Linked DNA regions of Stegostoma tigrinum. The protein of the gene in region 1 purifies or fractionates together with the protein of each later gene. This does not show direct contact. Links are inferred from orthologs where the notes say so. Each region holds a gene or a part of one and is shown in the gene's direction. Other genes may lie near its edges.

What was found.
Region 2: the proteins of obsl1a (region 1) and calcium/calmodulin-dependent protein kinase kinase 2-like purify together in Homo sapiens (affinity purification with mass spectrometry; 4 studies listed by BioGRID and IntAct, with this or other methods). This does not show direct contact. The link is inferred for Stegostoma tigrinum from reciprocal best matches to the Homo sapiens genes OBSL1 and CAMKK2.

The regions. Positions count from the first base shown.
Region 1 is NC_081360.1:102,223,422-102,236,303, forward strand, and holds the start of obsl1a (obscurin-like protein 1a), read left to right. Parts: upstream 1-7,387; 5' UTR 7,388-7,708; intron 7,709-11,370; exon of another isoform or gene 11,371-11,526; intron 11,527-12,882. Other genes in the region: inha (inhibin alpha chain), read right to left, coding at 925-1,649, 2,696-3,035. UniProt on the Homo sapiens protein: Core component of the 3M complex, a complex required to regulate microtubule dynamics and genome integrity. It is unclear how the 3M complex regulates microtubules, it could act by controlling the level of a microtubule stabilizer.
Region 2 is NC_081379.1:24,721,750-24,734,240, reverse strand, and holds the start of calcium/calmodulin-dependent protein kinase kinase 2-like, read left to right. Parts: upstream 1-6,776; 5' UTR 6,777-6,903; intron 6,904-11,463; 5' UTR 11,464-11,519; intron 11,520-12,491. UniProt on the Homo sapiens protein: Calcium/calmodulin-dependent protein kinase belonging to a proposed calcium-triggered signaling cascade involved in a number of cellular processes. Isoform 1, isoform 2 and isoform 3 phosphorylate CAMK1 and CAMK4. Isoform 3 phosphorylates CAMK1D.

The DNA.
Region 1 (12,882 bases):
ATGGATACAGACCAAATATTAGCAAATGGGACTAGTTTAATGTAGAATATCTGGTCAGCATGGACAAGTTGGATCAAAGGGGCTGTTTGCATGCTGTACGTCACTATGACTCTATAAAAGTAGGGAGACTGTGCTAAAGCTATAAAAGCCACCAGTCAGACTCTAGCTGGAAAACTGTTAACAGCTTTGAGCCCTTCATTTGAGGAAAAAATACAGGCATTGGAGGTAGTTATGGATCAACTGTCTTATGAGGACAGGTTAAGTAGGTTCAGTCTGTATTCAATGGATCTTAGAAGAATGAGAGGGGTACTTATTGAAACAGCTAAGATTCTTAGAGAACTTGACAGGATAAATATGAGGATGTTGCTTCCCCTTGTAGGAGGTTCTAGGACCAAAGGGCAAAATCTGAGTGTATGGATTCACCTATTTAAGACAGAAATGAAGAAGAATTTCTCCCCTTAGAAGCTAGTGAATCTGTGGATTCATTTTTATACCTCAGAGAGCTTTAGAGGCTACGTCAGTGAGAACAGTCAAGGCTGAGATAGACATATTTTCAAACAGCAATGGAATCTAAGGTTATAGGGTAAAGGCGGTAAAGTGGAGTTGAGGATGATCTGGTCAGCCTGGCCCAATTGACTGGCAAAGCAGACTAGATAGGCTGAATGGCCTGATGTCTAGTTTCAGAATGGAAAGTGAATGGACTGTTGGCTATTTGATTAAATGTTTACCAACTATCCATCAAATATTCCTTTCTTTCCAAAACTCAAATATTTTCATAATTAATAAACAATGAATGCACTGATACAGCTTCTTTATTTATTTCATTACTGTCCCTTGGATTTGTCTTTTGGATTCTGATTAATTTTCAGTTCCTTGAGAGTCCAAGGCCACCCTATCATTATGCTGAGGGTGAGGAAGCAAAGTCTAAATGCAGGCACATTCTTCGGTGATAATGTTTGGGATAGTCTCGTATTTAAAAGTGTAGCCACTGTCGGACGTTGTCCTCACTCTCAGGGGCTTCATGGTCCCTGGGACTGAGGTGCAGCAAACCTTGAGGCCGAGGCTGGAGGTGAGCCGGTTGGAGTTGGAGCAGGTCCCATTGCAGTAGTAGAAGGTGAAGACACTGGGTTGAACAATCCAGTTGCCCCATCCCAATTCTTCAAAGGAGATGTTAACGGCAGAACGATGGCAATCGTCATGAATAAGTTCAGGAGATGGTGGCCTCTGAAGGAGACTGACATATGCGGGGGACCAAGGGACTGTTGAGCGTCTAGATCGAGAAGGACCCAAGTTCTTCGCTGTGGACAGGATGAAAGGCACATTCACTTGGTCCCTCACACACTGGCAATTGGCACACTTGACCTGAAGGAAAAGTATCTTGTGCGAGATATATGAGAGGAAGGACTGGGAGATATGAAAGATTACCCACTGTCCTTCAACTGCCATGCTCTCTGCTGCCTGGGCAAAGCTGCCAGGTTCAGTGAGGAAGTACAGTTTAGTGGGGGGGTCAGCACCTGGGGGTAACTGGACCCCGGCGTAAAACCAGAACTCAGCAGAGGTCACCTGGCTGCGACGGGAGTGCAGGGATGGCTGAAAGACGTAACTGTAATTGCCCACGAATCCTTCATACTGTAAATCACACGGTATGTCTGAAAATAAAAGTATGGGGGGGGAAGGGAAGATTGAGCGGAATGAGTTATAAAATAGCCAAAACTTGTGTAAAACCGAATGATTTGCATTCACTTGTTTTGCTTCCATGCTTGTTTATTGCAAATATCAAACATTGTTTGACAGTTCCCGTTCTCATTTGATTATGTCTTCAAAATAAACCACCCAACCACACACCCAAATTTTGTGCCACCTGCTTAATCCTATTATCTTAACCACATCTCGTGCTGTTTATGTGCGTATGGGCTCCCAGGTCAGTGGGTAACCCACTCACTTCTCACTCCAGCAGTGGTGGTCTTAAGATCCCGTTTAGAGACTGAGAATCTAGTCTGGCATTGGAGCACTGAGGGACTGCCACACTGTTTGGAGGCACTTTCTTTCAGATGATATGTCAAGCTTATCCACTTTCTAAGTGGAGGCCATAAAGGATTTCACAGCATCTGTTTCCAAGAAGAGCAGGGAGCAGTTCACACCAGTCTCCTGGGAAAATGTGTACTTAAACAGAAATGGACAACACCTGGAAATTATTACCCAGAAGGCATATGAGAGTCAATCATGTTGCTGTGGATGTGGAGTCAGATAGAGACCAGACGGAGTAAGGACAATAGATTTCGTTCACTAAAGGGAAGCGGTTGATGGGTTTTTAAACGGTACATAGTTTTCATTAGGCTATCTTCTCTCAACTGAATTCATATTTCACCATCTGCTATGGGATTTGACCCCTTTAGTTTGGGGTTCTGATTTACTAATGTCTGGTGACATTACATTATATCACTGCCTCCGTTCTATTATGATCACTACAAATTGGCTATCAGGTCATCGTTACACTGCTGTCTGTGGGAGCTTCCTGTAGAAATCGGATGTTGTACTGCATGTATTACGACACTTCAAAAAGTACTTAATTGGTTGAAAAGTACCTTAGGTATGGCTGACATTGTGAAACAGTGTGGCCAGGATTTATCATCCTGACATACAAAATGATACTATTTTTACGTATTTGTTTTATGAAAGCCAAAAGAAAGCTTACTGGTTATGGGGAATGAGATGACCTCCGATTTATCGTTGTCCGTTTTGGGTTTGTGATGTCCAATCCAGCGGGTGATGCGCCGTGTCAGTCTGCGGTTTTTGAACGGATTATGCAGCTCCTGGCTGGTTACATTGCAGTTCTCTGGGGGTTCAGTCAGCCCCAGGCTCCTCAGAATTTTCTCCTGCACCTTTGCAATGATTGCATCCTCACTCATGCTGTGCATTGAGCAGGCACTTTCCAGCATTGGGGCCTGGAACATCAGAATCAGTAGCACCATCCACAACAAGCTCAGGAATAAAGGGACACCAGGGAGTTTGTGGGAAGCATGAAGCTGGAACATTGGGACAGAGGGGGACAGAGTGAGGGGGAGAATGAATAAGATACGTACACAGAGTAGAAGATAAACACTAAACAAGATAACTAACTTGAAAGCGATTACGAGGGAGGTTCTAAGACAATGCAGGAATTTAATGATTCAGATACAGAATGATGAGGGTAAATGAGAGAATGGGATCCAATGACAGAGATAGAAACACAGATACAGTAAAAACAGGAATGCAGGAAGACCGAAAGAATAAAATCAAAGTGTTTGAGACAGATAGATTGTCAGACAGCTAGAGTGGAATTGAGTCAGTGTAACCGGGGAGGAAGACAAATGCACACTGACACAGACTCACACCACACACAGGCACAGAGACACATGCACAGATAAATGCACACGGACAGATATATACACACAGACACAGTCACCCACAGATACATGCACACAGATACACCCACATATAGAGACAAAAGGAGAGATGGACACAAACACAGTGGACAGAAAGAAAGAGCCAGCAATACAGAATATGAGACAAAACAAGATACTGATGCAAGAGGAGAATGTGAGTGAGAGGGACTGAGAGACTCAGACAGAGGATAAGACTGAAAGATTGAAACTGGCAAAAAGCAAAAGAGGCACAAAGGCACTGAAGAAAATGCAATACAAGCAACAGGCACTCAGAGGAACAGAGTTAACACAATAGGGTTAGTTAGAAAGAGAATACACCATTACAGACAGAGTCGAGGAGAGACTCAGTTCGACAAGGAGAGAATGATACTAATGTCCTTTTAGTGTGATCTTCAAAACTCCTACAATCCCAGCAGACACACCCTCAAATGCTTGCTTGGAGGGCAGGTCGAGCTGACAGACTTGCCATTCACCCTGATTGTGCTGATTGGTGACCTGCCCCCTGACCCTGCTGCTCTTTGTCTCTCTCTCTCTCTCTCTCTCTCTCTCTCTCTCTCTCTCTCTCTCTCCCCACTGAGCTCTTCAGTGTGAATGCGCAGAGTTGCCACTATCAGAACTCTGATAGTCTGGTGACATTGGGCACGGCCTCTAAGACTGTTGTTAGCTGAATGACGTGGGTCTCCTGATTTGAATTATCTTCTCACAGAAGCACAAAACTCTAGCTGTAGAATATCATATTTTGGCCTCAAACAGCAGCCAATGGCTGAAATTCAAAGAAAGACTGATCTCAGGGACAGGGAGAGGTCAAACCAAATCTTCACTGATGCGAAAACACCTCCAAAGGAGTTCTCAGGAGGGATGGGAAGCTGTGATTCTCTTTTAGCCATGGATCTGAAGCCTGTCAGAGTTTGACCATTCCCTCAGTATACAATGTGGAGATTGCAGTGTAGTGAGATTTAGCCCACATTGATACAACAACTACCTGCATTTCTGTAGTGCCTTTCATGACCTCAGTAAATCCCAAGGTGTTTTGCGGCTGCTCGCAGTATTTGTGAGTAGTCACTCTTGTAATGTGGGAAAGTTGGGGCCGCAATGTTGATTGAGGGATAAATATTGGCCAGGACACCAAGGAAAGCTCTCCTGCTTTTTAAAATTGGGACTTTTGTCATTCTTGATTGTGCAGCGATGTTCCAGTGATAATCAAAAGCCTGGTCAAATACTCTGGGATAAATTGGTTCAAACCCCACACTCAACTGGTAAACCCAATTCAAATTAAGCTTGAATTGAAATATAATCTCAGTAATGGTGTCTACAAAGCTATCATTGCAGTAAAAACCTATCTGGTTCATTAATGCCCTTTAGGCAAGGAACCCTCCGGCCTACATGTGACTCCTGATCCTATGGTGACATGGTGGCTTCAACTGACTTCTGAAGTGACCAAACAAGGGAATGGCAACTGATGTAACCGGTTCTTCCTCTCACCCATCCCTTCCTCCCACCCCAAGCCGCACCCCCAGCTACCTACTAACCTCATCCCACCTCTTTGACCTGTCCGTCTTCCCTGGACTGACCTATCCCCTCCCTACCTCCCCACCTACACCCTCTCCACCTATCTTCTTTACTCTCCATCTTCGGTCCGCCTCCCCCTCTCTCCCTATTTATTCCAGTTCCCTCCCCCCATCCCCCTCTCTGATGAAGGGTCTAGGCCCGAAACGTCAGCTTTTGTGCTCCTGAGATGCTGCTTGGCCTGCTGTGTTCATCCAGCCTCACATTTTATTATCCTTGCATGTAAAGCTGCATTTAAAATATGGCCTCATGTTATCTCCCAGAGGCTAGTGAATGCCTGAAATTCCCTATCCTAATGAACGGTGGAGAATTGATCAAGTAAAGTATTTGATGAGGAGGTAGACTGATTCTTGAAACATCAGGGAAGTGAGGGATATGAGGAGATGGCACAAAAGAGTAGTTGAGGCCGGGGCAGATCAGCTGTGATCTTGTTGAATGGGGAAAGAGGCTTGAGGCCTTGACCTATCTCTGTGGCTATTTCTTATGTCCTCCCGTTCAATTGGGCTTTTTAACCAGCATGAAATGTGATGCATCTCTTACTGCAGTGTGATCCTATAGGTAGCACACATTTTGGTCCCTGCACAGGCTGAGTTCTCCCCCAAAGAAACTGCTGTTGCCCGACTGGATATCGAGGCTGCAACATTAAAGAAATCTTTAGTAAGTGAGCAATGCCACAGAATGCCAAACGACATTTCCAGGGAACTAACGTCATGAGAGGGATCAGCACTTTGCTGATAAATGTCTTTATATATAGAGAGAACTGAACTCAATGTCATTCTCCAATCACTCGTTACTGTCACTCGGATTGCACCACATGCAGAGGGAACATTTCATCTAAATGCAGGGTCTCTCCCTGAGAGGTACCTCACTGCCAGTATTTAATGAGATGAGGGTTGGAGATACAAACCATCCACAGTGCAGAACAGCAGTGAGACTTGGGTAAGGTGTGTCAGACGTGGTGGAACTAGGAGAAAAAGCTTTGTATTTGTATAGCACATTAACATAACCTCAGTGCATCCGAAAACACCTTCTGGCCAATGATATGCAATCATTGTTGCAGGAAACATGCTAGTCCAATTTCTGCACAGCAACATTCCACAATCAACACAGTGCTAAATGCCTGTGGCACATAAATCCAAGCTGTGGCACTGGAGGGTCAGAGGCGGTATACCAGTCTGATACCCAGAATGCGCAGGTTGTCTTATGATAAAAGGTTGCAGAGGCTAGCTTTATTCCCACTGGCGTTCCGAAGAATTAGGAGTGACTTGATTGAGGTGTATCGGATCCTAAATGGTTATTACCAGGTGAACATGGAAAAGATGTTTCCTCTTGCTGGCCAGTCCAGAACTAGGGGGTTCTAATTAAAAATTAGGAGTCACCTTTTTAGCTCAGAGTCAAGGAGAATTTCTTTTCTTGGAGGGTTGTGTGACTTTAGAACTTGGGGTCAATTAATATTTTTAAGACCGAGATGAGTAGCTTTGTGTTTGGCAGTGGAATCAAAGGAGTGGATGGGAAGGAGGAATTTGAAACGAACAGTTCAATCACGATCTTATTGAATGATAAGCAGGTTCAAGGTGTGGAATGATCCATTTCTGCTCCTATGCTGTATGCCCGCTTGTAACATTTCTACCACAGTACAGAAAGAGTGCTGCACATAAGGCTTGCTCTCGCAGATGGCACTGCTCTAAAGAAAAGCAGGATAGTTGTCCCCAGTGTCCTAGCCAATAGTTATCCCTCAAATTCCAAAAAAGCTGCACAAATGCTCTGTCCATTACAATATTGCTCTGTCCAAACTGATCACAATATTCCTTACGTTTCAACAGTGACTGCACTTCAGGAGTACTTAAATCATTGTAAAGCACATTCAGACTTTCCAAAATAGTGATAGGTGCTATATAAATGCAAAGACCGCTTTCTTGCTCGAACTCGTAGGAGCAGTGTATGAGCCAAGTCCAATTAGCTCTTCCACACTTCTGTTCAGCTGCTTCGTATCAAATGACAAGGCAGTTTCAATCTTTCTAATTCTGTCGGCTGTCCCACCATCCCCCTCCACCATCCACTCTCACCCCCTCCCAGACATTGCTTGTCTAAGACAGCAGAGATCCTTCTGTAATGTCACTTAAACGTAGACACGTAACACCTCGTTGGCTTCAGCTAATTCTGAATCTCTGCCACAGCACAGATAAGGGTCTTCGAATTCCTGAACGGGATTTGCAGTCACTGATCCTCCTACTTAGTCTGCAGCCCCACACTCCCCCAACCAGTCAACTTTCTCTTGGCAGGCTGGCCAGTCAATGGATGGTGGCCTCCTTTGCTCCCTGCATCCCCCTCCCACTATGGTCTCAACCATCCACACACTGCCAACCACCAGTCCAGCTCCTATTGGTGTTGTCGGGTCATGATGGCAGGGGTTATTTTGGGAGAGGAGACAGCTGGATAAGCTCCTTCAAACAATGAGCTGCAGAGCAGAGCAGGAGGGAGTAAGAGACTGGAGCATGGTTGAGGGGAACGGGGGAGGGTAGTTGCACACGGAATTTAAAACAGTCTTGCTGCTGAAAGGGCCTCCCCTAAGGACGGTCCGCTGTTAACAATGAGACTCATGGAGACGACATCTTAATGAATAAGCTGCAAAGAGGAGTGTAGGGATCTCAGAGGAAGAAACACTTGACAGGCAAACTGCTTCCCATCCCTGCCCTGAATTCTCAGCTAACTGGCTGGTAAGTAAATGATCAAACCCATGCCATTCTGTGTTGTAAAAAGAAGTGGTTGTGAAGTGCTTTCAGAGTATTAACAATCTTAAAGAGATATCAGATCATGTCAAGAGTCTGTGTAATGGAATGCAGCAGGTTGGGCAGGGATCATATGATAGTATTAACTCCCAGTCAAGCCACATGTTGAGTGCTCTTAGAGGTTTTCTGTAGTCCACTCTGTCCTAATATAGCCTGGGATCTTCTCCGTCTCCTTATCCTCTGACAACCCCTCAGGTATGAGGGCGATTTGAAATTAATATATTCAAAAAAGTTTGTTTTTTTAAGAGGCAAAAATAGAAACTGCTGGAAAAGCTCAGCAGGTCTGGCAGCATCTGTAGACAGACAGCAGAGTTAACATTTCGGAAAGGATTGACCCTTCCTCAGAGGGGTTCCTGTGGAAGGGTCACTCGACCTGAAATGTTAAATCTGATTTCTCTCCACACCTGCTGAGCTTTTCCAGCAATTTCTATTTTTGTCTCTGATTTACAACATCTGCAGTTCTTTCAGTTTTGATATTTTTTAGATTTTAAAGGCAACAAGAGACATGGGGAAAAGGCATGAACATGGCTCCAAGGGCCACATGGCCTGCTCCTGCCCCTGGTTTGTATGTTTTTCTAGCTTGTTGCCAGCCAGGGTTCGATGGCTTTTGGAATGACTGAAATGACTGATGCTTGATCTGCAGCTTCTGCTGCATTTAGAAGGTTGGGTTGATGGGTGATTATGCGTTTATGCCGTTCCCTCTGACAGCTCATCTTCAGCTCTGCACCTTTCCAATGGAGTCTCCCAATGTCTTAGGCATCTTCCAGAGCAAACCTTCTCCCTTTTGGTTGTTCACAAGCTAGGGTATCCATGAGTCATCAGGGGATGTTTGATCTCTTCAGGGAGGCCTTGAATTGAGCAGTCTCATTTGGAATCTGGGGTCAGGCTCACGAGTAACATGTACTGCCCAGTGATGCTGGTTTTGAAAGACTGGCCTCTCAACGGCAGGAGTAGGTATTGATGTTAGTCATCCTTTCCTGTTCTTGGATTTGGAGGATCTTGTGCAGGTGACACTGCTGGGACCTCTTTAGTGATTCAATGTGTTCAGCGTAGGCTCTCCAATTCTGGAATATTATTAGTGCACAGACAGGGAAGGGTTCCATTCGTGTGTTTGTGGAATTTTCATGACAGTTATGATTCAGACTCTGAAACATCTGTTTCCAGGGAATAAAGTGACTCAATTGGATCAGATGTCAGTAGGCAGTATGTTTAGGACATTGAGGTCACAGTATAATAAGAGTTTGATTAAGCATAGAGAGGATCAAGACAAAATCAAGGGTAAAATACTTCACTGGAGTAAGGCCAATTTCAGAGAGTAGGGAATGGATCTGTCTTGAGTAAACTTGAATGAACGATGAGCATGCAGAACTGAAACTAGACACTGTGTTGCCTTTATACAGGAACCAGTTCAGGTGCAGGCCTGTAGCAATGTGGTTGACTCTTTAACTTCCCTTTGAAACAATCAATCAGGCACAAGTCAGGAGCGTGGAGGAATACTTTCCAGTTGCCTGACTTAGTGCAGCTCCAAAAACACTTAAGAAGCTTGATCCAGGACAAAGCAGCCTGCTTGATTGGCACTACATGCACACACATCCATTCCCTCCATCACAGATGTTCATAGCAGCAGTGTGCATAATTGACAAGATGCATTGCAGATATTCATCAAGGCTCTTCAGCCAACACCTTCCAAACTCATGTTCACTACTGTCTGGGAGGACCATCATCTGCAATTTCCCCTCTAAGTCACTCATAATCCTGACTAGGAAATATACTGCCATTCCTTCTAAACCCTGGAACTCCGTCTCGGCAGAACAAATACTGCAACGATTGGAGCAAGTAGCTCACTATCACCTTCTCAATAGTAATTACAGACTGGCCAGCCAGAAATTAGCACAGCCCACCATTTTTTTTTAAAAAAGCCTACTGAAGTCAACAGCAATTCTGAATTGACTGTATTTCTGCTTGACATGGAGAACATATGTGATAGAAAACAAGCAAGGTCATCCCCAAAGGAACCGATTTCTGTTTGGCAGTTTTTGAATAGATCCTTTTAGTGAAGCGGATCTCTGGGACTGCAGCAGAGACTGTGTTACCGTGTGCATTATACAATTGGAAAGAGAATGGAAGGGAGAAGTGACAGGGGTCTTTTGACTGCACAGAGGGCAGTCAGCAATGTCAATGTCTCTCGACTATTAAGCTAAAATCAGAAGCTAATTTTCTCAGGGTATAGGTTCAAACCCCACCATGGCAGATGGTGAAATGTGAATTCAATAAAAATCTGTAATTAAAAGCCTATTAGTGACTATATTGAAAAGAATCAATCAGCTTCATTACTTGTCCTTTAGGAAAGAAAATCTGCTGTCCTTACATGCACTTTTTAGAGTCATACGGCATGCAAACAGACCCATTGGTTCAACCAGTCCATGCAGAGCATAATACCAAACTAAACTAGTCCTGCATGTCTGCTCCTGGCCCATATCCCTCCCAATATTTCCTATGCACATACTTATCCAAATGTCTTTTAAACATTGTAATTGAACCCTCATCCATCACTTACTCAGAAATTCATCCCACACATAAACCATCCTCTGCATTAAACATTTGCCCCTCATGTCTCTTTTAAATCTCTCTCCTCTCACCTTAAAAATGTGTCCCTTTGTCTTGAAATTCCACATCCTGGGAAAAGACAACTAACATTAACCTTATCTGGACAACTTACTTTTTTTTTATAAACTTCTAGAAGGTCACTTCTCAAATCGTAGAATCCCTACTGTGTGGAAACAGGCCACTCCCCTACCACCACTTAACAGCTTCCCATCCAGACCCATTCCCCTACCTCTGCATTTTCCCATGTCTACCCACTTAACCCAAACATCCCTGGACACTACAGCATAGCCAATCCACCTACCCTGCGCATCTTTGAACTGTGGGAGGAAGCCAGAAGGACACCCATGCAGACACAGGGAGTATGTGCAAACTCCACACAGACAGTCATTTGATGGTGGAATTGAACCCAGGTCCCTGGTACTGTGAGGCAGCAGTGCTCACCACTGAGCCACCGTGCCGCCAACCTCCTAGGGCCCAGGCTATCCAGCCTTTCTTTATAACTCATACCTGGCAATATTTTGGAAGATCTCTTTTGAGCCCTCTCTAGCTTAATAATATTCTTCCTATAACTAGGCGACCAGAACTGGACACAGTGTTCCAGAAGAAGCTGTACAACCTCAACATGACTTCCCAAAACCTATTTTCAGAGGACTGAACAATGAAGGCAAGCATGCACTAGGCCCGAAACATCAGCTTTCCTGCTCCTAAGATGCTGCTTGGCCTGCTGTGTTCATCCAGCTGTACACCTGGTTATCTTGCATGCTAAACACCTTTTTGACCACCCTGTCTATATCTGATGCAAACTTCAAAGAATTATGTACCTGAACCCCTGGGTCCCTCTTTTCTACTTGGTCTGATCTATACGTGACTGCAGAAACACAGCAATGTGGTTGACTTTTACTTTTAATGGTCAATAAATGCTGGCCTAGCTACACCGCAGAAATGAATTAAAAATACAATTCTTGCTGTTTCAATCTTTCCAGAGGCCATCAAGCCACTTAAAGGGACAGGAAAAGAATTTGAGGATTCTGTGACCGTCAGTACTTGCACAGACTAAATGAGAAAAGGTTTGTGCCTGCGCATCATTACAGTATTAATCATGTCCGGGAACTTAAGATGAACAATGGCTGCTGCTAAAGGTGATTTAAGGGCCAATTCTTTGAGTGGGAAATAAGAGGCCATTCAACCCATCGTGCCTGCACAGGTCCTATTACCTACTGCCAATCTTCCACCTCTTCCCCAGATTGCAACACCATTTCTATTCAAATAATCATCCGAAGCCCCTCTCGAATGCTTCAGTTGAAGCTGTCTCCACCACATTTCCAGGTCATGCATTCCAGACCCTAACTACTTGCTGTGTGAGAAAGTCTTTTCTCATATAACCCTTGCTTCATTTGCACATCACTTTGAATCTATGCTTTCTCATTCCTGTTCCTCTTCTGAGTAGCAGCAACTCTCCCTAACAACTCCGTCCAGTCCATTCACGATTTTGAAAACCTCGATCAGATCTTCTCTCAGCTTTCTTCTCTCCAAGGAGAACGAACCTAATTACTTCAATCTCTCCTGATTGACAGCCCTGTGATAGTATCGCAAGGCTATTAATCCAGAGACCCAGGAAACCTTCTGGGAACAGGGTTCAAATCCCAACGTGGTAGATGCTGGAATTTGAATTCAATAATAATCTAGAATTAAGAGTTTAATGATGGTCATGAAACCATTGGTGATTTTCAGGAAAAACCATCTGGTTCACTAATGCCCTTTAGGGAAGAAATCTGCCATCCTCATCTGGTCTGGTTTGCATGTGACACCAGACCCACAGCCAAAGTGGCTAACTCTCAACTCAATTAGGGATGGGCAATGAATGCTAGTCCACCCAGAAATGACTACATCTCATTAAAGAATAAAAAAAATTACTGAAATTGCTCATTCCTGTCACTAATGATGTAAGCTTGAACGGAGGGTGATTAATCAGTAAGTTTGTGGGTTATATGAAAATTAGTAGGGTGGTAAATAGCTAGGAGGGTAGCCATAAATTACAGGATGATATAGACAGGTCAGTCAGATGGGGTGAACGAAATTCAGTGGTAAATAGAACTCAATTGATAAATGAATCTATGAAATGTGAGGTGATGCATTTGGGCAGGACAAACAAGGCAAGGGAATAAATTATGAATGGTCAGTCCCTGAGAAGCACTGAGGATCAGAGGGACCTTGGTGTGCATGTACACCAGTCTGTTAAATCAGTGGAACAGCTAGATAAAGTGACTAAGAAGCAGTTCTGAGGAAGTGTCAACAGACCTGTAACTATAATTCTGAATTTCTTTTAACAGATGCTGCCAGACCAGCTGAGCTTTTCCAGCAACTTCTGTTTATGTTGTGACTAAGAAGGCATATGGGACACACCTTTATTAGGCAAAGTATAGCGCTTAAGAACTGGGAGATTATGCTGGAACTGTATAAAACATTGGTTAAGCCACAGTACAGCTATGAAATCC
Region 2 (12,491 bases), on another chromosome or scaffold:
CTAATCCAAATGTTTTTTAAATGTTGTAACGTTACTTGCATCAAGCACTTCTCCTGGCAGTTCATTCTGCACACTAACCACTGCTTTTTAAAAAAAGTTGCCTCTCGTGTCCTTTTGAAATCTTTTTCCTCTCACCTTAAAAATATGCCCCTTACTTTTGAATTCCTTCACTCCAGGGAAAAGACATTTGTTGTTCACCTTATCTATGCCTCTCATGATCTTATAAACATCTATAAGGTCAGCACTCAACCTCCAACACTCCAGTTGAAAAAGTCATAGGCTGTCTTTATAACTCAAATCTTCCATTCCCGTCGACATCCTGATAAATCTTTTTTGACCCCTCTCCAATTTCATAATACTGTTCCTATAACAGGGTGACCAGAACTGCGCACAGTACTCCAGAAGAGGCCTCGCCAACATTCTGTACAACCTCAATTTAACATCCCAACTCCTATCCTCAAAAGATCTGAGCAATGAAGGCATGTGTGCTAAATGCTTTCTTAACCACCCCTACCTACATGTGATGCAAATTTCAAAGGAGTCTCTGTTCTACAACACTACCCAGGGCTACATATGAACTGTATAAGACCTGCTCTTGTTTGTTTTACCAAAATGCAAAACCTCACGTTTATTCAAATTAAACTCTATCTGCCTGTCCGACCCTATTGATCAAGATCTCTTTGTGATCTTAGATAACCTTCTTCCCTGTCCACAATACCACCAATTTTGGTGTCATCTACAAACTTAGTAACAATGTCTCCTAAATTCTCATCCAGATCATCTATACATATGACAAATTGGCTTCCTTTGCTTTAGCATTGAAATGTTTTGTCTCAGCCTGTATTTTTCTTTCTTATAAGAGAGGAGGATATCACTGTTGCAAATCCACAATGCCACTTATACACTTACCTTCTTTACGATTCAAATGTTATTATGATGTTGAAATTGGTGCTACTCATATGTAAAGAAACACGAAACAATCAAGGGTTCTTCTTATTCTTAGCTCAGCAATACCGGAAACATCCGTAAATTGTTAAGCCTACCAAGATTGTATATACACACTTCTCCATTTGTTTAATTCCCAAATTCTCTTCACTGAAGTTACAGAATCATCTCTTATCCATACATTGAAATATTAAAGAAGTTACAGGAGGCCAACAATTGTTGTACCTGTGTAACCCTGTACAGGTAGTTTTGCTATAACGCATGTTTCGTTAACGTGAATTGGCTGTAATGCAATTTACGAATAGTGGACATTTTGGATAATGCAAACTTTCTGTTGTATATGTATAATGATTTTCTATAATGATTTTTCTATGGCAATTTTCTACGCAGGAACGCAACTGTCACGATTTAGGAGAACTATCTATACAACAAATTTTGTTCTTCAGTGATTTCAAGCTCAAATGTTGATATGGCTATAATTCAAAATATTTTCAACTTACTTAGATTCTGGTCTCTACCTATGGTCAGCAGATTTCTCCTTTCTGACATCCTTACTGGAAATCCCACTTCTGTGTTCCCATACATCTTGGCTTCCCACTGTCTAGAAATTCTTGGCCTGGCTTGAATATCCTTCTTCTCAGCTCGATGAAGGATCCCGAATGGTTGGTTTTCAAGCCAAGTCCCAATATCATCATCATCAATGTGACACTCCGATATTGATTTTTAACCGTTGTTTTCTCGACATCTTTGCCACTGGAGATGCAGTGCACATTTGTGCCTTTGACCAGAGCATTGCAATCACAAGCTGCACACAATCCTTGATACACAATAATCAGCATGCTCTTCAGATTTATTGAATGCAAGCTCCAGTTTGCTGTTTTGACACTTAACCACCCGCTAAAGGCATTCCAAATTTTCACATTTTTCCAAATGGGTTTTTTTCAACTTTCAAGTTGCATTTACAGTTCACCAGTGCATGCTCTGTTGTATTTTGTTTTAAAAATTCATTCAGTTTTATGAGCATATATTCATGTTATCAAAATAATGAGTATTATTGGTCCAGGAAATAGAATTAACATGGTTTATGACTAGGAATAGTGAAGTTCAGAAAATATGGATGAGAGTTTATAGGCCTCCTAAGTAATTACACAGCTCAACAGAGTAGTGTGATAAGTTACAGTAACTACTTGTTTAAAGACAATGTCATTGTTGAGGCAGACTTTAATGCTTTTAACCTTAGACTGGACTGGGCCAATCAAATTGGCAAAGATGGTCCGGAAGATGCAAGAATACATTTGCAACAGATCCTTGGAGCAATGAGTGGAACCAACTATGGATGGAGTTATTTTAAATATAGCATTGTGCAATGAGGTGAGGGTAATTATTAATGTCATTCTTCAAAGATCCATTGGGAAGTGGTGATCATAATATTCAATTTCTTATTAAGTTTACAAATGACACATCACAAACAAAAGTCTTAAATTTAATATTAAGGGGAGAGTTTGGAGGAAAATATATTTTGAGGGTGTGGTAATAAAATGTGTGAGATAGTTAAAAAAAATTCAAAATAGTCCACAAATCGTATACCATATAAGTCAAAAGTTCAGCAGGAAAGATTTGGCTGTGGCTTACTGAGAAGGTTAAACAATATCAGGTAAAAAGAGGCTGGAGGCTTCTCTTACAAAGTAGTATTAAACCTGAGGACTGGATGTTTTGGAAAATTGCGAAAGACTACCAACAAGTTTATTAAAGATGTATCAGATAAAAGGAATATGAGATCTAGGAATATTAAACCGGTTGTAAGAATCACTTGTAACAAGGTGTAGAGCTGGATGAACACAGCAGGCCAAGCAGCATCAGAAGGAGGAAAGCTGACGTTTCGGGTCTGGGACCCTTCTTCAGAAAGGGGAGAGGGGAAGGGGATTCTGAAATACAGATGGCGGGGGGTGGTGGATGGAGGATGGATACAGGAGAAGATAGGTGGAGAGGAGACTGACAGGTCAAGGAGGCTGGGATGGAGCCAGTAGAGATGAGTGTAGGTGGGGATTGGTCAGTCCAGGGAAGACTGACAAATCAAGGAGGCAGGGATGAGGCTGGTAGGTAGGAGGTGGGGGTTGAGGTGGGAGGAAGGACAGACAGGTTAGGGATACGGGGACGAGCAGTGCTGGTTTTGGGATGCAGTCGGGGAGGGGAAGTTTTGAAGCTTGTGAAGTCCCCATTGATACCATTGGGCTGCAGGGTTCCCAAGCGAAATATGGGTGCTATTTCTGCAACCTGTGGGTGGCATCATTGTGGCACTGGAGGAGGCCCAGGATGGACATGGCATCCAAGGAGTGGGAGGGGGAGTTGAAGTGGTTCACAACTGGGAGGTCCAGTCATTTGTTACAAACCTACGCTCGATTCGCGACAAATGACTGCACCTACGCTCAGTTTGCTACAAACGACTGCACCTGCCAGTAATGAACCACTTCAACTCTCCCTCCCACTCCTTGGATGACATGTCCATCCTACTATCTCTAAGAATCGCTTAGCAGGCCACAGTGAGCTCTGTGGGCTCTCTGTTGAACAAGTCTGCTCTATGACTCTCACTTTTGCAAGTATACAGAATGGAAAGGATGAGCTAAAATAAGTATGAGAACCTTAGAAACAGAATTAAATTCTGGTCCTTTAGAGGCAGAGACAGGAGTGATTATCATGGAGAATGACAACATGGTAGAGACTTGAGTGCAAACCAAACTGACCACTATCTTTTATTGGCTCAATAAATCTGGTGAGATGACCAAAGCAAAGCAACATCTATCACTATCAGTTCCCGAAATCAATTGATTGTTTCTGTCAGCAACTATGTAGCTAAGAACTTCCAACCCTCCCCTATCCTTAGGCAACAGGCATGCTTTGGAATGGTATAAACATTAAATCAATACAGAAGTAAACCATTTTGCACTTTGAATCTGCTCCAACATTCAATGTGATCATGGCTGATCTGTTTGTGCTTCATATTCTACATTCCCATCTTTTCCCTTCCTCCCAAATCCCAATAACCCTCGATTCTACTACCCTGCAAGAATCCAGAATCCAACTACCTGTCTTAAAAAATTTAATAATCCCAGCCTCCACTGCCTTATGAGGTAAATAGTTCCAAAGTCTCTCAATTCTCATGGGGAGAAAAAAGGCACATGCCTGTTCTGAAAGATCAAACCCTAATTTTAAACCATGCGCCCGAGTTCCGGATAGACCCACAAAAAGAAATAATATAAACAAATCCACCTTGTTAAAACTGTTCTCGTACATAACACTAAAGTCAAGTCACCCCTCACTCTTCTAAATTCCATTGGAAATAAGCCTGGCCTGGCTAATATACCCTCTTAAGGCAACCCACTCATTCCAATCAAAGGTGACCAAAACTACAATTGTGTACAGTTCTGGTCACGATACTACCAGAAGGATGTGGATGTTTTGGAGAGGGTACAGTAAAGGTTTGCCAGGATGTTGCCTGCTTTGGGTGATTTTAGCTATGAAGAAAGCTTGGCTAGACTGGGTCTGTTTTCACTGGAACCCAGGAGATTGAGGGGTGACTGAATAGAAGTTTATAAGATTATGAATGGCGTGGATAGAGTGGAAAGTATGAGGCATTTTCCCAGAGTGGAGAGGTCAATTACTAGGGGACACAGATTCAAGGTGCGAGTGGGTAAGTTTAAAAGAGATGTGCAAGGTAATTTTTCACACAAAGGGTGGTAAGTGCCTGGATCATGTTGCCAGAGAGAGTGGTGGAAGCAGACCACCATAATAGCAGTATTCAAGAAGCACCAGGACGAATACATGAATAGGAAGGTAATAGAGGGATACAGATGTTGTAAATGAAGACTGTTTTGGTATGGAAGGGCAAAATATGGCAGCGCAGGCTTGGAAGGCCGAAGGGAGTGTTCCTGTGCTATTTTGTTCTTTGTTCCTTGAACAAACTGTATTCTAGAGTGGTCACATCAATGCTGAGTAAAACTGAAGCATATCATCTTTTTATGTTAAAATTGATGTTAAAATTGCCTTGTAAAAAAGGGTAGCATTCCAGTAATCTTGATAATGTGCTGTATCTGCATACTGGTATTTTTGTGACAAGTGCAGCAGAACACTCAAGTTCTTTTGCTTGGAATTGTGCAGTCATCCTCTATTTAGAACATAGAACATAGAAGTTTTTATTTTTCCTGCTGAAATGAACAACTTCACATTTTCCCATACTTTATTCCTTTTTTTGTCCATTTACTTACCTTATGTCTGCACGTTATTTCACAACATACTTCACTATTTTGGTGACATCAATGACTTTAGATACCATGCTTTTCTCCTCATTAAGTCATCATAAATTGCAACAAGTTTAGACCCTAGCACAGACTCCTGAATGACTCCACTCATCACATCCTGCCAAACAAATAAAGACTCTTTTGTGCATGCTTTTATTTCTACCAACCAGCCTGTCTTGTATCTGTGCTAATCTATTGCCTCCTCTATCATGACCTTGCATGTTTCCCAATAACTTTTGATGTAGCACCTTTATCAAATGTATTCTGGAAAGCCAAGTATAGTATGTCTAAAGGTTTGCTTTTATCCACAGAGCATGATATAATAGATTGATTAAATATGATTGCCCTTTGTTTAAAAAACACATTTCAAATAGAAGGGCATGGAGGCGGTGACAGAGGTGGGCCTAGAGTGGCGAAATTAAGTTTGGGCCAGTTCAGTACTCAGCAGCATTGGGGCATCTGCATCAGTGAGATCTAGTGAGGACTCGTGGTGAGGGCATCGGTGGCCAAAGAGTGGCAAATTTTGTTCTTGTGGGCGGTGAAGGGGACTTATGCCTGGCCACCAGGGCCAGGGCCCAAACAGAGCACTTAACAAGAAGGACTATAAAGTTGAACATTTTCTTTATTTCTTCATTTTTCTCCCATGATATTCTCTGTTTTTGGTTTGTTTTTCTGGGATTTAAGATGGTGCTTAGGAGTGGCAACATCAGTGAACACTGCTTTTCACTATATTTTGTAACAAGACATAGTAATAAATAAATAAAGCTTTTAAAAAATCAAATTATTTTATCTTAACTATACATTGATTTTGCTGCCCAAATAAATAGTTTCAATGTCTAGCTTTTACAGTGATGATAAAAAAAATCTGGCTCTACCAAGTGGCCAAGAAGTAGGCTACCCATTGTTTTTCATTATAACTTATGTGATCTACTGTTTTTAATTATATTTGCTTCACAATCAGATAACCCCTTTATTACTGAAGTTTATATTCTAAAACGTATAAACCACGAAACTTTTTTTTGCTACAGATGGGATAACTGGGGCATTTTCCCGTGTAATTTACAATCTTAGTGATTTAGACGAAGAGAGAGGGTAATATGCGCAGGTTTGGTAATGAAACAAAGCTGGGTGGGAATGCAAGATGCGAGGGAGACACAGGAACTGCTAATTGCTGTGGACAGATTATTAGACAACAAAATAGTTGAATAAACCGAGTATAATGTGAGGTTATGGAAAGCGAGGCAGTGACATTGCGGTAATGTAATTGGAGCACAAATCCAGAACCCTTGGCTCATATTTCCGGGAATGTGATTTGAATTGTATCATGGTAGATGGTAAAATTTGAATTTAGTTGAGGAAAAAGCTCAATCAAAGCACTTCTAACCTCGTTCGTTCCATCCTAATCACCCCCGCCTGGACTGAATCGTCCATCGTTTTATTATAGTTGTCTCATGGTGGGCATGACCTTACCCTTCTGATTGGCTAATATTGATGTCAGTTAGGCCATATCGGCCCGCCCCCTTTTCGGCTGTCGGTTGTGCGCAGCCGCGGCGGAACGGGTGACGGTTTTTCGGACTGTGGTCGAGCTCTTGAGCCTCTGGCACCGAGAGGTCGGACATGTTGCTGTAGTTTCAGGACGTGGAACCGAGCGACTGTCATGAAGGTACTTGCCTCATTGCTGGCTTTAGTGCAGTCATTGTTAAATTTGGGGTGGTCGCTCCTTCCTTGTAACGATGAAGCTGCCGCCCTCTATTTCCCACACCCCCACTGCTCCATCGAAATATGGAATTATTGTCAAATACAGTAATATTTGGTATGAACAGAGACTTGATGCAGTTTTAGAATAGCTTCTCCTCGGTTTGGTGGAATCCAACAGTATGTTCAAGCAGCCTTGCTATTGTTGGAATTGGAGATGTAGGTGTCGGAAAGGCGAGTGGGCGTTTACTGATGGTGGTGATTCTACTTTAATTTTGATATTTGTATCGCAACATAAGTGTGAAAGCGGGGCGTGTTATTTATCAGGGCCAGCCTGCGTTAGGCCTGGGATAGTTTTTCACTCTGGTTTCTTGCAGAGTGTTAGGCAGGGACCAGCCGCAGTCCCTAGGGTTTATGTCAGATCTAAAAAAAGTCAGAAATTGCTGGGAAAGCTCAGCAGGCCTGGCAACATCTGCGCAGAGAAATCAGAGAACATCAGATCTGATATTCTGAGGAAGGGTCACTAGACCTGAAATGTTAACTCTGATTTCTCTTCACAGTTACTGCCAGACCTGCTGAGTTTTTCCAGCAATTTTGTTTTTGCTTGTGATTTACCACATCCGCGATTCTTTCGTTTTTTTTTATTTTTGTCAGATCATCCCGGCCTCCCGCTTATTCTGGCTGTCAAATCCAAAACTAATTTTTGTTATGCCCGATGTCAGCATGTGGACTGGGAGGTATGGAAGTAGAATGCTTGATTTTGGAATTAGTGTGGACGTGTACATTTTTAGGGATTACATAGTTTGGTGAAAGTCTTTAATGGTTTCATCGTTAAATTGTCAGGGTGGAGAAAAACGTGATCTTCATCAGTAATTTGCATAACTCCTTTCAACTGACATTTTGCTATTCTTTGCTTTTATTCTGTCTATCGACATCGAGAGTCCAGGTTACCTCTGTGAGAACGCAGTGCTTGTCTCAGCTGTTTGTTTGCCAACATTCCCTCCATACGTACCGATACCAGTGAATGTTTGTTAGAATGGAGGTGCTTCCTTACATAGTTCAATTTCCCCCTACCCCCCCCCCCCCCAACAGCCTGTTGACATTATTTGCTAATCAGTCTTTTTTTATGTATTCACATGTGACCTGATTTAGTGCCGACTTCTAAATGTCTGTGAGTCAGTGGCTAAGACCCTCATTTTGACCCATGCACCTAAACGTGCGAAGGGCCTTTGATTTTTTTTTCGTCCTCACTGTCCAGTGCTGGAAAATTGGAAAGTGGCAAACGTCACTCCCTTGTTCAAAAAAAGGAATAGGGATAACCCTGAAAATTACTGACCAGTTAGTCTTGTGTCAGTGGTGTGGCAAGTTATTGGAAACAACTCAGAGAGAGGATTTATGATCACTTGGATAGGAACAGTTTGATTTGTGATAGTCAGCACGGATTTGTGAGGGGTAGATCGTGCCTCTCAAACTTTATTGAATTCTTCAAAGAGGTGAACAAACACATGGATGAAGGAGAGCAGTGGATGTGGTATTATGGATTTAAGTAAGGCAATTGATAAGGCTCCCCATGGTAGGTTCATGGAGAAAGCAATGAGGCATGGGATGGGGGAAATATGGCAGAATGGATTCAGAATTGGCTGACTCTCAGAAGACAAAGGGTGGCAGTAGATGGAAAATATTCAACATGGTGCTCAGTTAGGAGTGGTGTACCTCAAGGATCTGGGTCCTCTTCTACTAGTGATTTTTGTAAATGATTGATTTAGATGTAGCAGTGGTAGGGTAGATTAGTAAGTTCACGGACCATACGAGGTGGGTTGAGTTGTGGATACTGCGGAGGGCTGTTCTTGTTTACAAAGGTACATTGATAGGATGTAGAGCTGGGCTGAGAAGTGGCAGATGGAGTTTAGCCCTGAAAAGTGAGAGGCAATTTGTTTTGTAAGGACAAACTTGAAAGCAGAGTACAGGGTTAATGGAAAGATTCTTGGTAGTCTGGAGGAGCAGAGGGATCTTGGGGTTCATGTCCACAATTCCCTGAAAGTTGCCACCAAGGTGGATAGAGTTGTTGAGAATGGTGTGCTAACTTCCATTAATAGAGGGATTGAGTTCAAAAGCTGTGAAGTTATGCTCCAGCTCTACAGAACCCTGGTTCGGTCACAACTGGAGTAGTGTGTCCAGTTTTGGTCACCACCTTATAGTAAAGATGTGAAAGTTTTGGAAAAGGTGCAGAGGAGATTTACCAGGATGTTACCTGGAATGGAGGCAAGGTCTTATTAGGAAAGGTTGAGAGAGCTTGGGCTTTTCTCTTTAGAATGATGAAGTATGAGCGGCGACTTGGTAGAAGTGTTCAAAATGATCAGAGGTATAGATAGTGGTAGCCAGAGATTTTTTTCCTAGGGTGGAGGTAGCTATTATGAGGGGGCATAATTTTTGAAGTGAATGGAGGTAGAAATAGGGTAGATGTCAAAGGTAAGTTCATTACTCAGTGTGGTAGGGGCGTGGAATGTATTGCTGGAAAGGCTAGTGGAGTTGGCCTTATTAGGGGCATTTAAGCAGCTATTAGATAGGCATGTGGATGATAGCATAAGGTTGGGGTAGAGGTCAGTTAGACCTTAGGTTTAGGGTAAAATGTCAGCACAACATCGAGGGCTGAAGAACTGTACAGCACAATACAGGCTGTATGTTCTATGATACTTATGGTACTAGTGGGTAGAAACTTAATGAAATTTGAGCAGGTGGCATTGAAAGAACAGAGATAAATGTCCAAATCAGGATGGTGTGTGACTTGGGAAGAATCTTGGGGGTGTTAGAGCTCTGATGTCCTAGCCGCCCTTTTCTGCATGGGTGATGGAGAGCAAAGGTTTGGGAAGTACTGAAAAAGAAGCCTTGATAAGTTGGTGTAGTGCATTTTATAGATGTAATGTTCTTCAGACTTAGTGCCTTGGTGGTGCATCATAGAATCCCTACAGTGTGAAAAGCCATTCAATCCACCAAGTCAACATCGACCCTCTGAGGGTCATCCCATCCAGACCACCTTCCTACCATGCCCCTGAAACCCTGCATTTCTCATGGTTAATCTACCTAGCCTGCACATCCCTGGATACTATGGGTAACTTTAGTATGGCCAATTCATCTAACCCACAAACCTTTGGACTGTGGGAGGAAGCCAGAGCACTGGAGGAAACCCACACAGACATGGGGAGAATGTGCAAATTCCACACATTCTCCCTACGTCTGAATGGTTTCTTAATGATTTAGTAATTTTCCCATATCGACATTAACTTTCTAATATTATCAGAAAATATTACATCTGTGCCATATAGTTTATACCAATCAAGAAAAGGCTGAAAATACACCTGGACAAAGCTGCTTCAGTATTTAGATATACATGATAATAGCTAATAGCTATGTGTATTGCAGGGCCTGCACGTTAGTAGCCATATGTAGCTTTAATGTTTGTCCTTTTTTAAGAATTACTAAAAATTTGTAAGTCACTGATACATATTTAATGAATTCCCTACTGTGTAAACAGGGTAGAATCCATGGTATTGTGGTAGTGTAACAGTTATTGGAAAATCACTTACACTTATACAATTTGTAAAATTTGAACTCCTTTTTAAATTTCTCTGCTTTTTGAGTCAAAATGCTATCTGTCTATGTTCAGGTTTGTTATAATATGGATTATCTTTAACTCATTCAGTTAGTTCAGAGAAATTCTCACCACATCACGTCCACTTAAGACATTGCCCTTTTTTAAAAGCAATTTTTAAGAGTTTTTCCAGAAATCCAAATCTGATTCTTGTGGCAGCTGAGGTCATGATGAACAGTGTAAGGCAATTATGACCATTCAGGGATTCACTTGAGTGCAACATATTATCATAAACAATGTTTAAAAACATGTAATTACTTGAACAGATCTGCTTATGTGCGTCATTAAACAAGTATATGATATTATGTTTGATTACAGAATCACAAAAAGATATAGCATGAGTGGATGTCATTCAGCCTATGCCTACATAGGCTTGGAAGTGCTTGCCTTCTCCCACAACTTGCAGATGGTTCAAATTGAAGTATTTGATACTCTTGTGAAAGCAATTATTGAATCTGCTCCCATCACCCTTCTGAGCAACACATTCTACATTGTAAATCACAGTGTAAAAACGGTTTCCTCACAACACTGTCTAGTTGTAAAACTCGTTACCTTGTTGCCGCTAGAATTGGTTTCTCCTTTATTTGTCAAAACTCTGATTTATGAATATCTCAATTGGATAATCCTAAAATTTCTCTGCTTAAAGGAGGACAACTCCAGCTTCTTTAGTCTTTCCATGTAACTGAAGCATTGCATCCTGGGTTCCATTCTACCAAATTTCCTCTGTGATCCGTCTGAGACTTTGACATTGTTTCTAAAGTGGACATAATAATCCAGCTGGTATCTAACTAGTGATTCATAAATGTTTAGTATAACTTCCTTGTTTTGCAATGTCCCATGCTGTTCAGTAAGCTAATATACTGTATGCTTTTTTAACAGCCTTCTAACCTCAACCTGCCTGTAATTATTGGAATGCAATCAGCCAGGTGGAACCTGTGAGTTTCCTAAATGAACTTTTTAATCTGGTCTAATCAGAGTCCTGATAGATACAAACAGGAGTGTCAGAGGTTCTGTTCACTCGAGCCAACTCTAAACTAGCTGGGTCAGTGCCATGTACTATTTGCGTGCAAATAAAGGGTGACTTGATGATGGGATACTGGCCGCCTTCGGGTTATTTCAGTGGTGACAAAAGAAAACCATGCCCTTGAAGAAATTTGTGCCTAGCAGCCATCTTTGATGTGAGGTCAGCATTTCTGGCCTCCTGCAGCTCTTTGGGAAGCTTGATTTTGTTCGATCCTGCTGTTAAAGACTAAACCCAATATGTGGAAAGAATGTGTTTATATTTTCAATGCAAATGACATTGGGGTGGATCAAAAGCATTGAGAAATTCTTCTGACTGCCTGTGGACCTGCAGTTTTTTTGGTTAATAGCAGCCTGAGTGTCCCTGAGGCACCAGATACTTAAAACTTTCAAGAGTTGATGGATTTATCTAAGGAATATTACAATCCCAAGATGCCTTTGCTTCTGAGATGCTATCGGTTTTACTCACCAGTTCAAGAACAAGGAGAATCTGTAACCGATTTTTGATGAGGTTAAGGCAGTTAGTAGAAGCATTATTTTTGGTTTAAGCTTATGTGAATTGCTGCAAGACCATTTGGTATGTGGGATTAATTATGTGGCTATGCAAAAATGGCTACTAGCTGAAGGCCCCAACTGGACTTCAAATTTACACTACAACTGGCTTTGACGTGAGATAATGTGGCTTGTGGAACTTATGAGTGACAGGGTTTACTGACAGAAGTGAACGCCCTTGCCAGGCCACCTGAGCTTGGGGAGTGCTACTTGAATGAAGGCAATTGCATTGTCTCTCTGGGTCATATCCTGAAGAGGACATTAGGTCAGTCTACAGCAAAACTCCAAAACAAAGCCAAGCTTCTGCAAAACACAAGTTTCTCAAGGATGGAGAT